Linked DNA regions of Macaca mulatta. The protein of the gene in region 1 purifies or fractionates together with the protein of each later gene. This does not show direct contact. Links are inferred from orthologs where the notes say so. Each region holds a gene or a part of one and is shown in the gene's direction. Other genes may lie near its edges.

Region 1 (3,645 bases):
AGTTTAGTAACCATGTGAGTGAAATGGCTTTTTGGAGCATGACTTAAACTGTATGTGAATGAAAATTACTGGTTATTTTTTGTCTCAATTCAAATGTTTGAAGAGGCAAACTCCATTTTTTTTTACTGCTATTACTCTGTGTTTTCAGTTTTATGATTTGGAATACCATGATGGGAACATCTATACTAAGCATTCCTTGGGGCATAAAACAGGTAATACTAATTTTTTAGCACACTTTTTGCCTAAATGATTTTCTGTTTATATTGCAAGTTTTATAACAGAGGTTTTAATGAATCTACATAAAATTCATGAACGAAAATAGATGGTTATATTTAGTTTTTCATGAGTTGTCAAGTTTTTACCATGATTGTTTAGGGTAAAATAATTGCATATGAATTTGTGCTTACATGATGATGTATGCTGTTTTATACTTTTATTTTTAAACAGGCTGGATTTACTACTGGAATGTGTGTCATCATACTGATGGGCCTTTTAACACTTTATTGCTGCTACCGAGTAGTGAAATCACGGACTATGATATGTAAGAATTTGACACAGTGACAATAGATTATGGGTATTAATAAGCATTTCCCTTTGAGGCAGGTCACTAGTGTGTATATGCCACATGTGCGTCAACTGTCTACTTTGTACCTAAAGATTTACTTCTGTAATTCATTGCTTTCAGCTAAATTGAATTTGTTAATAATATATTAGTGGCTGCCTTTGAAATTCAGAGAAGCTGGGAGTTACTTGCAGAGAGCATTCACTGTGGTGCTAGTTTCTTCATAAGAATCATTTAAAAACTCATATTTATAAAATAATGTCTTTGCTAGAACTAAATTGAGAATTCTATGCTTCCTGTCAGTTAATGGTGACTTGTTTTTACCTATTGATACCAAAAGATCTAAATGTTAGAATCTCCTAAATATGAAAATGTAAGCAACTCTCTAGTAATGAATATTTGAAGTTGTGTGAACACCTTACCTCTACTCTATCTACATATTCTGGATCAGGGAAATATATTTTTTAGGTTGTTTTTAAAGTAGTCTAGGACCTAAACAAACATGCATTATTTCATTAAATCTTAGCAAGTATGAATCAACAGACCAGACTTTGCCTCCAGTTTTTTTCTGTGCCTACTAAGCAGCTTTCTTCTTTATGTTAACCAGATCTAGTGTTAGTCATTGGGCGAGTATTTGTTTAAAAGTCTTGAGAAGCCAGACCTGGTGGTGTGTGCCTGTAGTCCCAGCAACTCAGGAGGCATAGGTGGGAAGATCACTTTAGTCCAGAAGTTTGAGGCCAGCCTTGGCACTGTAGCAATACTCCATCTTAAAAAAAAAAAAAAAAAAAAAGAATAAAAAAGTCTTGAGAGAGGATTCATTCTGGTTTCTAAATGGTAAAAGGAGATAATTTTAGCCTCTGGTTTCTAAGGCAAATTGTGGCTAAACTTGGAAGACTTCTTTAAACATATACAGTAAGTTCATATCTTATCTAATTCAGCATCTAATTTAAAATTGGGACAGAGCCCCCAGAGAGTTCTCTCTATAACTTTTTTCTTTTCTTTTCTTTCTTTTCTTTTTTTTTCTTTCTGAGACAGGGTCTCACTCTGTCACCCAGGCTGGAATGCAGCAGTGCTGTCACAACTCACTGCTGCCCGGACCTCCCGGGCACAGGTGATTCTCCCACCTCAGCCTCCTGGGTAGCTGGGACTACAGGTGCATGCCATCATGCCCGGTTAATTTTTTGTGTTTTTCATAGAGACAGGGTTTCACCATCTTGCTCAGGTTGGTCTCGAACTACTGGGTTCAAGTGATCTGCTCACCTCAGCCTCCCAAAATGCTGGGATTATTGGCTGTATAACTGTTAACTCCCATGTTATTACATTATTCCACACCATTTAAAAAGAAGAGAGGCTGAGGCCCAAGAATTGCTTGAACCCAGGAAGTGGAGGTTGCAGTGAGCCAAGATTGTGCCACTGTACTTCAGCCTGGGTGATGGAGTGAGACTGTGTCTCAAAATAAAATAAAATAAAACAAAATAAAAATCTTCCACCAATTCAGTTTAAAGTCCACACACCCATAACACAAAGCCTGACATGACCAAAAATAAAGAAAATAATATATAGATGTAAAATTTATTTGTAAAACATTATCATATAGAATCCAACAGCGTATCAAAAGCATATCCTGTGTCTAAGATAAGGTTTATTCCAGTAATGCAAGAATGTTTCATTATTAAGAAATCCAACATAATTCACTACATTAACAAATTAAAGGAAAATTGATAATTGCTTCAATAGCTATCAAAAAGGTACTTAATAGAATTCAGCACCTGTTTCTGATTAAAACTCTAAGTGAAAAGCACTACTTAAAAATAACAAAGTCTATTTATTCCCAGACAAGTACCAGCACCATTCTAAAATTATGAAATGCTAAAGCAGTTTTCATTAAAGTCAAGAAAACATAGAAATGTTCAAAATTAATCAGTTTTTTTGGAGATATTGTCAAATGCAGCAAAAAAAAAAAAAAAAAACCCTAAATATAAAAACTAGAAAAGACTTAGAATTATATTATCAGTCAAAAGATAATTTTATTAGAAATGCTAAGAGTCACTCAGCTCACTGCAACCTCCTCCTCCCAGACAAGCAATTCTCATGCCTCAGCCTCCCCTGTAGCTGGGACTACTGGCGCCCACCACCATGCCTGGCTAATTTTTGTATTTTTTTTCTTTTTCTTTTTCTTTTTTTTTTTGAAACACAGTCTCATTCTGTCACCCAGGCTGGAGTGCAGTGGCAGGATCTGCAAGCTACGGCTCACTGCAAGCTACGGCTCACTGCAAGCTACGCCTCCTGGGTTCATGCCATTCTCCTGCCTAAGCCTCCCAAGTAGCTGGGACTACAGGTTCCTGCCACCGGGCCTGACTAATTTTTTGTATTTTTAGTAGAGATGGGGTTTCACCATGGTCTCGATCTCCTGACCTCGTGATCCACCCGCCTCGGCCTCCCAAAGTGCTGGGATTACAGGCATGAGCCACCGTGCCCAGCAATTTTTGTATTTTTTGTAGAGATGGTGTTTCGCCATGTTGGCCAGGCTGGTCTCAAACTTCTGACCTCAAGTTGATCCATCTGCCTCGGCCTCCCAAAGTGCTTACAGGCATGAGCCACTGCACCCAGCCAAAACAGTTATTCTTTATAGTGATATTGTCCTCACATTCTTTATCTAGATGTGAATTATATTCTAATGTCCCCAACTTTTCAGGCTTATCACTGCTTTCTGCCATGTACTAGCTGCCATATTTTGCTTCAAAGATGGCAGAACTTCAGTTTTTCCGTATTCATCAACCGTGACAATTATTTCAAAGTAGTTCAAAGCATGGGATCATAGAGGAAAAAAGACTGTACAATTATCCTTTGATGACAATTAATATACTCTTTCATAGGTTATACTTATCTATATTCTTTCTTGAACATTGAAATGTAAAACACAAAGTTTATATTGTTAATATAATAACCCTATCATGGAAAAGCAAATGGTTTTCGTTTTTTGTTTTCTTATGTAAATTTATATCCTAAATGATAGGAATCTCTACATGCTTTTTAAAGTTAATCATATTGTATTTTAGTTGTCTTCTACTTTATTACCTATT
Region 2 (4,357 bases), on another chromosome or scaffold:
AAGGTGTCCCCTCCTCACTCTCCACCACGCCCCCAGCCCAGGCCACAAGGCAAAACCCGCCCCCCAACACGCGCCACGCTCCCCAATATCTCCCCTCGCAGGGCGCCCCCTACCCGACTCTCCTTCCCTTCAGCTCCTCGGAGTCCCAGCTGGCCCCCGCTCTCCTCTCCGGGGCCCTCCAGGACGCCAGACCGTCAGGGAGGCCCCCATCTCTTCGCAGACCCCTCCTCCGCGCTCCCCCCGCCTCCCGCCTGCTGTACTACCTCCTTGACCGAGGCTCGATCGCAGATCACAATTTCCTCCTTGTCCTTAGGGGTCTTGACGGTGACCCGAATAGGGGGCCTCGTCTCGGCCCCGCTCGGCTCCGCCATGCCGCCGCCGCCACCCGGCCGCCCGCCAGCCCGCCCGGCTCCTCCTCCTCCCCGCCCGCCCGGCCGGCCCGGCTCGGCTCCTGCGCCTCCAACACTCCCCTCTCTCCACCTCTCCCCTCCCCTCCCCTCCCCTCCTCTCCCCTCCCCTCCCTGAGGCTTCACCGCCCCCTCCAGACCAGCCGCAGCCACAGCGCCCCGGGCGGACCGGGGGGGCCACTGCAGCGGGGTCCGCCCAGGGCCAAGCCCCAGGTCCGGAATCCGGCCAGGGTCTCGCCAAGCTGGGGCTCCTGGGGAGGCTCTGGGCGGGGGAAGGGACGTGCCCTTCACTGCGGGGGCGAGGGCGAACTCCCCGGGAGACCGCGGCCCAACGCTGCTCGCCCGAGCCGTGCCGCCGTCCCCTCCGGCCCAAAGCCTCCCCGCCCCCTCCGCGGCTAACTCTGCTCCGGGACAAAGGACTTTGTGTGTCGCCGCTTTATCTCCGTTCCCTGTGATAACTTGGTCTTTCTTGGAAGCCCCAAGTCCCTTCCAGGCCAGGGGCCTTTCCCGACTTGGAGGTTGGGTTTCCCACCAAGCACGTCCACTTAGGATCTCAGCTCTAGGACTGACCCTATAGCCCCGAGGGTCGCGGCCTAAATGGTCTGTTGCGAACGGTTCCAGGGAGCTGGGTTTTGGCTGCGTGGCCTTTCAGAGCCTTGATTTCCTCAAGATAATAATAGTACCTCTCGCCTCATCGCACAGAATTGTGCATAACGGAGAAAACTGTTTTGAAAGTAACCAAAGGCGCGCCTGACAAATATGAGGATGTAGTATAATTATTGAATCGTGGACTGCCAAGCGGACACGTTGATTCCTTTCTCCCCGAAGGGGTTAAATGTCCTTCCAGCGCTGCAGCTGTCCTTTCACTCCCGCTCTTTTCCGCCCCCACAACCGCGTGGTCCGCCTGGAAAGGCGAACTATAGTTCCCATGGTGCCTCGCGAGGTCACGAGGAACTACGATTCCCAGAGACCCCCGCGGCGGGGCGGTGTTGAGTCGGAACCACAATAGCCAGGCGAGGAAACTACAACTCCCAGGGCATCCCGGAGCAGGCCAACGGGACTACGGGAAGCAGCGGGCAGCGGCCCGCGGGAGGCATCTCGGAGGATCTGGGTGCAAAAACCCAGGGTTAGGAGCGGTAGGCATGCTGCGCCCCAAGGCTTTGACCCAGGTGCTAAGCCAAGCCAACACTGGAGGCGTCCAGAGCACCCTGTGAGTGCGGACCACGGACCCCAGCGGCGCGCGCTGCAGTGGAGCGGCGTGCGACTCCCTGAGGGAGGGGTGGGGAAGGATCGCCCGGAAGGGAGGAGGCGTCAGAGGGGGCAGTGGCTGGGGGTACCGGCCGGGAGGTCACCTCTCGAAAAGGGAGGCCGGTGTGCTGGGTGCTTAGGGCACGTTCCGGGACACACTCAGCCGAGAGCCTTGCTGGATGTGCCCGTGGCGGGACTTGAGATGGAAACCCAGACGTTTTACTCCCCGCGCTGAGCACATCGTTATCCCTCCCCGCCCCTCACCAGGCTGCTGAATAACGAGGGATCACTGCTGGCCTACTCTGGTTACGGGGACACTGACGCCCGGGTCACCGCTGCCATAGCCAGTAACATCTGGGCCGCCTACGACCGGAACGGGAACCAAGCATTTAATGAAGACAATCTCAAATTCATCCTCATGGACTGCATGGTATGGAGAGGGGAGCCAGACTTCCCCTGTCCCCCAAGGGGATCCCAAGGGGGCGACCTGGACCCCATCCTGGATGGTTGGAGGGGCAGGGACAGGATCTCCGGAAGATTACTAAGAGTTGGTCTGCAGCAGCATTTGTAATAGGCAGGACCCTATTCATCAAGTGGTGGTGAGGAAGGAGCCCTGGACCTGAGAGGTCTGACTTGGGTTCTGGTCTCAGCCATCCACTTATCAGTTGTGGAACCTTGGGTAAGTCGCTTAACCTCTCTCAGCTTCCTTACCTCATGTCTAAGGAGAAGACAATTTCCCTCTCCCCGCTTCCCTCGTGGGTTGTTGTGAAGGTCAAATGAAATAATGGGTATAAACAGTAGAATGACGTGCAAACACAAAGTGTTGTCATCCCAGCTTCACCGACTCACAGAACCATGGCAGTCTCCAGACCCTAGTCCAACCCCTTAAGGTTACAAAGAAAGGAAAATGAAGTCCAGAAAGGGGAAGTCGCCATTAGACTGTGAACTTCCTAGTATCTGTTCAGTTAACAAATATTTAGGTCCTTGCAGTGTTCTCAGGACTAGGGAAAAAAAACAGCAAACAGAAAGACAAAACCCCCAGACCTAATAAATCTTACACAGTGATGCGATCACAGCTCACTGCAGCCTCGACCTCCCTGGGCTCAGGTGATCCTGCTGCCCCAGCCTCCTGAGTAGCTGTGACTACAGTCATGCACCACCACACCTCACTAAGTTTTGGATTTTTTGCAGAGACTGGGTTTTGCCATGTTGCCCAGGCTGGTCTCAAACTCCTGGCTCAAGTGATCCACCCACCTCGGCCTCCCAAAGTGATGGGATTACAGGTGTGAGTCACTGTGCCCGGCCACATTTTTTAAAATAAGTAAAATATGTAGTATATATTAGGTATTGAAATTGCAATGGAGAGAAAGCAGGGAAGTTAAAGAGTATGAGTTTGTTGGGCGTATGTGTCAGGGACAGTCTCACTGGAAAGGTGATATTTGATCAAAGATGTGAAGAAAGGTGGGGGACAAGCCATGTGGCTATCTGAGGGAAGAATATTTTGGACAGAACAGCAAGTACCAAGGCCCTGAGGCAGAATTATGCCTGCTCAAGGATCAACAGGGTTGGTTGGTATGGCTGGAGTTGCATGAGAATGGAGGAGGGTTAAGTAGGAGATAAGGTCAGAGAGGCAGGGAGTGCAGTGCTTGGTTCCTGGCATACAATGAATACCTAGTAAAAGTTTGCCGAACTTACTTTTGTTTTTTTCAAATCGGCCAGAGGGTGAACTCTCCAGGAAGGATCTTCATAGTAACTCAACTGCCTACTCTCCCCTACCCCCTGCACAACCAATGCCATTTTTAGTTCAACATAAGACTCCTACTGGATGCCTAGAGCTGGTGCTATAAGGAAATAGCTTTCAAACGTTTTGACCACAACCCAGCCATAAGAAATATATTTTAAAGGGCCGGCACGGTGGCTCATGCCTGTAATCCCAGCACTTTGGGAGGCTGAGGCGGGCAGATCATGAGGTCAGGTGTTCAAGACCAGCCTGGCCAACATGGTGAAACCCTGTCTCTACTAAAAGTACAAAAAATTAGTCAGGCATGGTGGCATGTGCCTGTAATCCCAGCCACTAAGGAAACTGAGGCAGGAGAATCACTTGAACCCAGGAGGTGGAGGTTGCAGTGAGCTGAGATCACGCCATTGCACTCCAGCCTGGGCAACAGAGCGAGACTCCATCTCAAAAAAAAAACCAAAACAAACAAACAAACAAAAAACAAATACATTTTAAGGCTGAGCGCAGTGTCTCACTCCTGTAATCCCAACACAGACTGAGGCTGGAGGATACTTGAGGCCAGGAGTTTGAGACCAGCCTTGGTGACCTAACAAGACCTCATCTCTACAAAAACTTTTTTTAAAAATAAATAAATAAATAAATAGGAAATAATTTTTTAAGAAAGACATTTTAAGTCACAGCTCAACACACACATATACCCACTAAAACAAAAGTCATGAAACAATACTTTTCCTACTACATGTAATATACTTCATTTTTTCTTTTTTCTTTTTTAATGCTGATCAACCTTCTTTTTTTTTTTTTTTCTTTTTTTTTTTGAGACGGAGTCTCACGCTGTTGCCCAGGCTGGAGTGCAGTGGCGCGATCTCGGCTCACTGCAAGCTCCGCCTCCCGGGTTCCCGCCATTCTCCTGCCTCAGCCTCCTGAGTAGCTGGGACTACAGGCGCCTGCCACCGCGCCCGGC
Region 3 (4,220 bases), on another chromosome or scaffold:
TACGCAAGTTTTTTGTAAGCAAGGCCATGCCTTGGGCCACAGGTAAGAGTCAGAACCTGTCATTGTGCTCTAGGAACTCCCAAGTTTGGTAGGTGAGACTGACCCAGGAACATAGAATATAGTGTGATCACTATTGGATGTTCCACGACTACAGGGACTTTGGCTGTTTTGTGAACTGATGCATATCCAGATATAACAGTGTGTGGCACATAGTAGACGCTCAGCAAATATTTGTTAATAGATGCATGAATTAACACTGGATGAGGATTAAGCATAGAGAGCTGGACATGTCCAGAGAATGGGGTCAGAGAAGGTAATCAGGAGGACATTGTACTGAGTCTCGAAGACAGTAGGCAGACCAGGCTGCATGTGCAAAGTCCAGTAGATCAATCAGGAAACATCATTTCTCTATGTCCAGTGAAACAGATTGCTCACCCCTCCACCCCCTCACCCCTCACCTCAGAACATGCAGTGGCAGAGAGGTGTCAGGCTCTGCGTGACTTTGATATGTCAGATGGGTAATGTGCCAAAACAAGATTTGAGGGTGGGCGCATTTCACACACGCGGAATCACACGCGCATGAACAACAAATGGATCACTATACAATTTTGGACGGACTTGGACCTGTGTTCAGGGCCCAAGGGAAGACATGGGGGAGGAGGGGCGTTTAGGAAAAGAGAACTGATGGTCAGCTTTGTGCGTTAGATTTACTATGGGTCCTGTTAAAAAAAAGGCAGAATTAAAGATAAAAGCCTGAAGGCAGAGAGGTCAGTGAGGTGACTTCTATCTCCTCCACCAGGATTTATCTCCGCTCCGCGTCAGCATGTGAAGGAGTATAAGGTCCCTTCTTCCTGTAAGTCGCAGATCCCCAGCCCAGGTGCAGAATACACCCTCCGTGTATTCACCCCCAGCCCAGCTGGGCGATACACCCTCTGTTCCCCTACTGGGTACCGGTCATCTGGATCTTCTGTGTGTGCACCCAGGCTGTACGATCTAGGAGCGTCAGGCCTGGATCCCACTCGCCCCTCGCATGGCATTTAGAAGAGTATATCACGAGGGCATATAAGGGCATTTGGTACGAGTTCGCTCAATGGCCCAGAGAAGTGGCCTAGTGGCCACGAGAACGCATAACACTATTCACGACGGCCACTTCTGCCAGTTTAGAGACTGGAAAGATGAAGTCATGTGATCCGCCCCTCCCTTTCCTCGCTTCACTTGCCTGCGTGTCCGGTTACGCCTTCCTATTGGTTGACAACGATCACGCGCTAGCGGGCGGGACCGGAAGCCGGGGTATTGCCTGAGGCGGCCCAGCGGCTCCGGGAGAAGGGATACTGGGGGTGGCGGCGGGTGGTTGCCTGCGGGAGGCAGTTGCGGGTCATGTGACCGGAAGGGCTCCTGACGGACGCCGTCCCTCCTCGGCGCGGCCTGAGCGCCCGGCCTGACCCCTGCCATGGGGTGCTGCTACAGCAGCGAGAACGAGGACTCGGACCAGGTGCGGCCGCGGCAGGCGGGGCTCGGGAATGAGGGCTAAGACCCTGGGGCTTGGGGCCCCAGAAAGAAATCTGCGGAGAACGGGCCAGGACTGCAGGGCTCGATGAATACGGAGGCCTGGAGGGGACAGATTACACAGGAGACGCCAAGCCGGACTCCTACCCCAGTTAAAGCCCCAGCTTTCTACGCGGTCCCCGCCTCGGGGTGTACAGGCAGCCGCCTGTCCGGCTCGCTCCCACCACTTCCGTTTGCTCCTACCTTCAAAACTTTCCAGATTCAAGGATCCTCAGTCTAGGTCCCCGGGAAATACTCCCTTCCCAGCTTCCTGTCTTCTCTGTATTAGTGGGTTTTGCGAATCCATTGCAGGGGTGGGTAAGCTGAGGCCCTGAGTTAGGCTGTCCTGCGATGAATCAGGAATTCATGTATCGTCTTAGTCCCTGGGGTTGCAGAAGGAAGGTCGCTGCTAGTTTAGGGCCAGAGGACGATTCTGGAAGTTGGTGGCCTTTGAGTTGGCCAATGAAGGATTTAATGGATACAGTGAGGACATCGGGACATGGGGGAAATTGTCTGGGAAGCAACAAAGAGGGTTTAGCTTTGACTAGATTGTGGTAAAAGAGAAATGGAGCGGGAAGTTCATTTGGGTCTGAGTTTGGCTTGCCTCAGTGCAGTCTGCCTGGGGCCTGAGGGTTCCTTTAGCTGGAGACATGCCTGTTCTGAGAATTTGGCTGTAGATCTGATCCCTCTGACGAAAGGCTTAGGCTGGGGAGACCTGTACAGTTTTAAATTCTCCCTCTTCCTCTTAGTGCATTCTCACTTCTCTCCACATTCTAATCCCTGCCCCGCCTGGCCTGACATTCAAGGATGAAGTCACAAGTTGCTGTCCACTCTTTTTTGATCGTCTCTAACCCTGGATTCTACATTTGAACATATAGTAGACCTGAGAAAGTAGAAAGGTTTCAAGTAGCTCACAGTCTAATAGGGGAGATGGTCACAAAAATAGATTATATCACTGGTACTTGGGAAGTAGTTATTTCTTCAGTGAACGTATTTTGGATTAAGGGCTTAAGCTTAGGAAAATGTCATTTGTGGCCGGGCGCGGTGGCTCAAGCCTGTAATCCCAGCACTTTGGGAGGCCGAGACGGGTGGATCATGAGGTCAGGAGATCGAGACCATCCTGGCTAACACGGTGAAACCCCGTCTCTACTAAAACAGGCAAAAAAAAAACTAGCCGGGTGAGGTGGCGGGCGCCTGTAGTCCCAGCTACTCGGGAGGCTGAGGCAGGAGAATGGCGTGGACCCGGGAGGCGGAGCTTGCAGTGAGCTGAGATCCGGCCACTGCACTCCAGCCTGGGAGACAGTGAGACTCCGTCTCAAAAAAAAAAAAAAAAAAGAAAATGTCATTTGTATGGGAAGCAAGGGTCGCTTCTGGTTCTCAATTCTTCATACACCCAATGAACACATATTTCCTTTGCTCTGTGTTAGGCATGTGTCATGCCTAATACCTCTCACTTCACCTCCACCTTTTTGAGAAAGAGACAACAATAACCCTGCCTACTGGGAGAGCTGTGGCCTAGTGGGAAATTGTCCCTTAAAGCATAATGTGGACTCTTGCAGGGAATGAGTCAAGAAGGATTAATGCCTTATGAGAAAGGATACCAGCTTCTACTTGGAAGGGAGAGCTGGGCCTGCTGCTCTCCTGAATCTCTACCTTCTCCTTGGTGGGCTCTCCTTTCTGTTCCTAACACCCAGAGAAGATGTTTAATCACTGCTGGGTGATTTGAGGCCTCACGTAGCAAGAGCCGTAACCATCCACCTCCCAGAGTCCCTCTTTCAGTTCTTGGGCAGGCTCCTCTCCCACTCTCATCTCTGTCTCTTTATCACAATAAAAAATGTACAACACATTACAGTTTACAAAGGGCCGTGATAGTTATCTAATTTGACTCTTGCCAGACATCTGTCATATTAGTGTGGGTTATGTCTATTTAAAGGTGAGGAAAAAGTTCAGAGAAGCTAAGTGATTTGGCCAAGCTGGGAAGTGCTAATGCCCGGGTGTTCTGATGCCAAGCCATGTACTTTATCCATGGGGCCAAGCAGTCTCATCTATGCCCCTAGACCAGGTGGCCAGTCATGGGCAGGGTGCTATGTCTGTGCTAAGGTAGACAGTGAAACCCTGCCTCTTGGGTTACACTGACGCAGAGACAAACCTTGATGTGACAAACCTAACCCATGCTCCACTCGCACTTCGGGAGTGGGGTGATACTTGTCTACTCTGAAGGGGGTAGCATGGCCTCTTCTTTAAGTCTAGGTTTCAAGAAAACAACCTTGTTCCTCCCTTGATCTTAGCTGAAGGCTGAGAAGTGATCAGCCAGCCTTCTTCTTGAAGAACCCCTGATAGGGAAGAGACTACCCTGTCCTGCAGGAAGATCTGTCTGAAGTGGAGCTGGGAGAAGGACAGACACATAGGAAGCTAACTTGGGCCTCATTATGGAGCCAGCTTTCCTTAGAAATACATAGTTTTATCTTTGGCAAACATTTTGTCTTTTTAGCTCTTTTAATACTGAGCCTGTGTTTTAGGGAGGAAGGGTGTCTGGGAGTTTACAGAGGTGATGGGGCAAAGCCCACAGCTTCTGTCTTTTGCTGCTGGGAACTGGATCAAATTGCCTGAGGACACTTGGGCAACCTAGGCTTGAGAAAGAAGAGTAAGGTGAAAAGGCTGGGCCTCCCTAAGCA

What was found. Proteins that work in one complex are often made in the same cells at the same time.
Region 2: the proteins of SLC38A9 (region 1) and LAMTOR2 purify together in Homo sapiens (co-immunoprecipitation; 5 studies listed by BioGRID and IntAct, with this or other methods). This does not show direct contact. The link is inferred for Macaca mulatta from reciprocal best matches to the Homo sapiens genes SLC38A9 and LAMTOR2.
Region 3: the proteins of SLC38A9 (region 1) and LAMTOR1 purify together in Homo sapiens (co-immunoprecipitation; 5 studies listed by BioGRID and IntAct, with this or other methods). This does not show direct contact. The link is inferred for Macaca mulatta from reciprocal best matches to the Homo sapiens genes SLC38A9 and LAMTOR1.

What each region holds. Positions count from the first base shown.
Region 1 is NC_133411.1:63,475,674-63,479,318, reverse strand, and holds part of SLC38A9 (neutral amino acid transporter 9), read left to right. Parts: coding exon 1-14; intron 15-148; coding exon 149-212; intron 213-447; coding exon 448-541; intron 542-3,645.
Region 2 is NC_133406.1:110,879,286-110,883,642, reverse strand, and holds the start of LAMTOR2 (ragulator complex protein LAMTOR2), read left to right. Parts: upstream 1-1,424; 5' UTR 1,425-1,549; coding exon 1,550-1,617; intron 1,618-1,922; coding exon 1,923-2,085; exon of another isoform or gene 2,086-3,103; intron 3,104-4,357. Other genes in the region: UBQLN4 (ubiquilin-4), read right to left, coding at 264-371. UniProt on the Homo sapiens protein: As part of the Ragulator complex it is involved in amino acid sensing and activation of mTORC1, a signaling complex promoting cell growth in response to growth factors, energy levels, and amino acids.
Region 3 is NC_133419.1:72,398,431-72,402,650, reverse strand, and holds the start of LAMTOR1 (ragulator complex protein LAMTOR1), read left to right. Parts: upstream 1-1,287; 5' UTR 1,288-1,450; coding exon 1,451-1,492; intron 1,493-4,220. UniProt on the Homo sapiens protein: Key component of the Ragulator complex, a multiprotein complex involved in amino acid sensing and activation of mTORC1, a signaling complex promoting cell growth in response to growth factors, energy levels, and amino acids.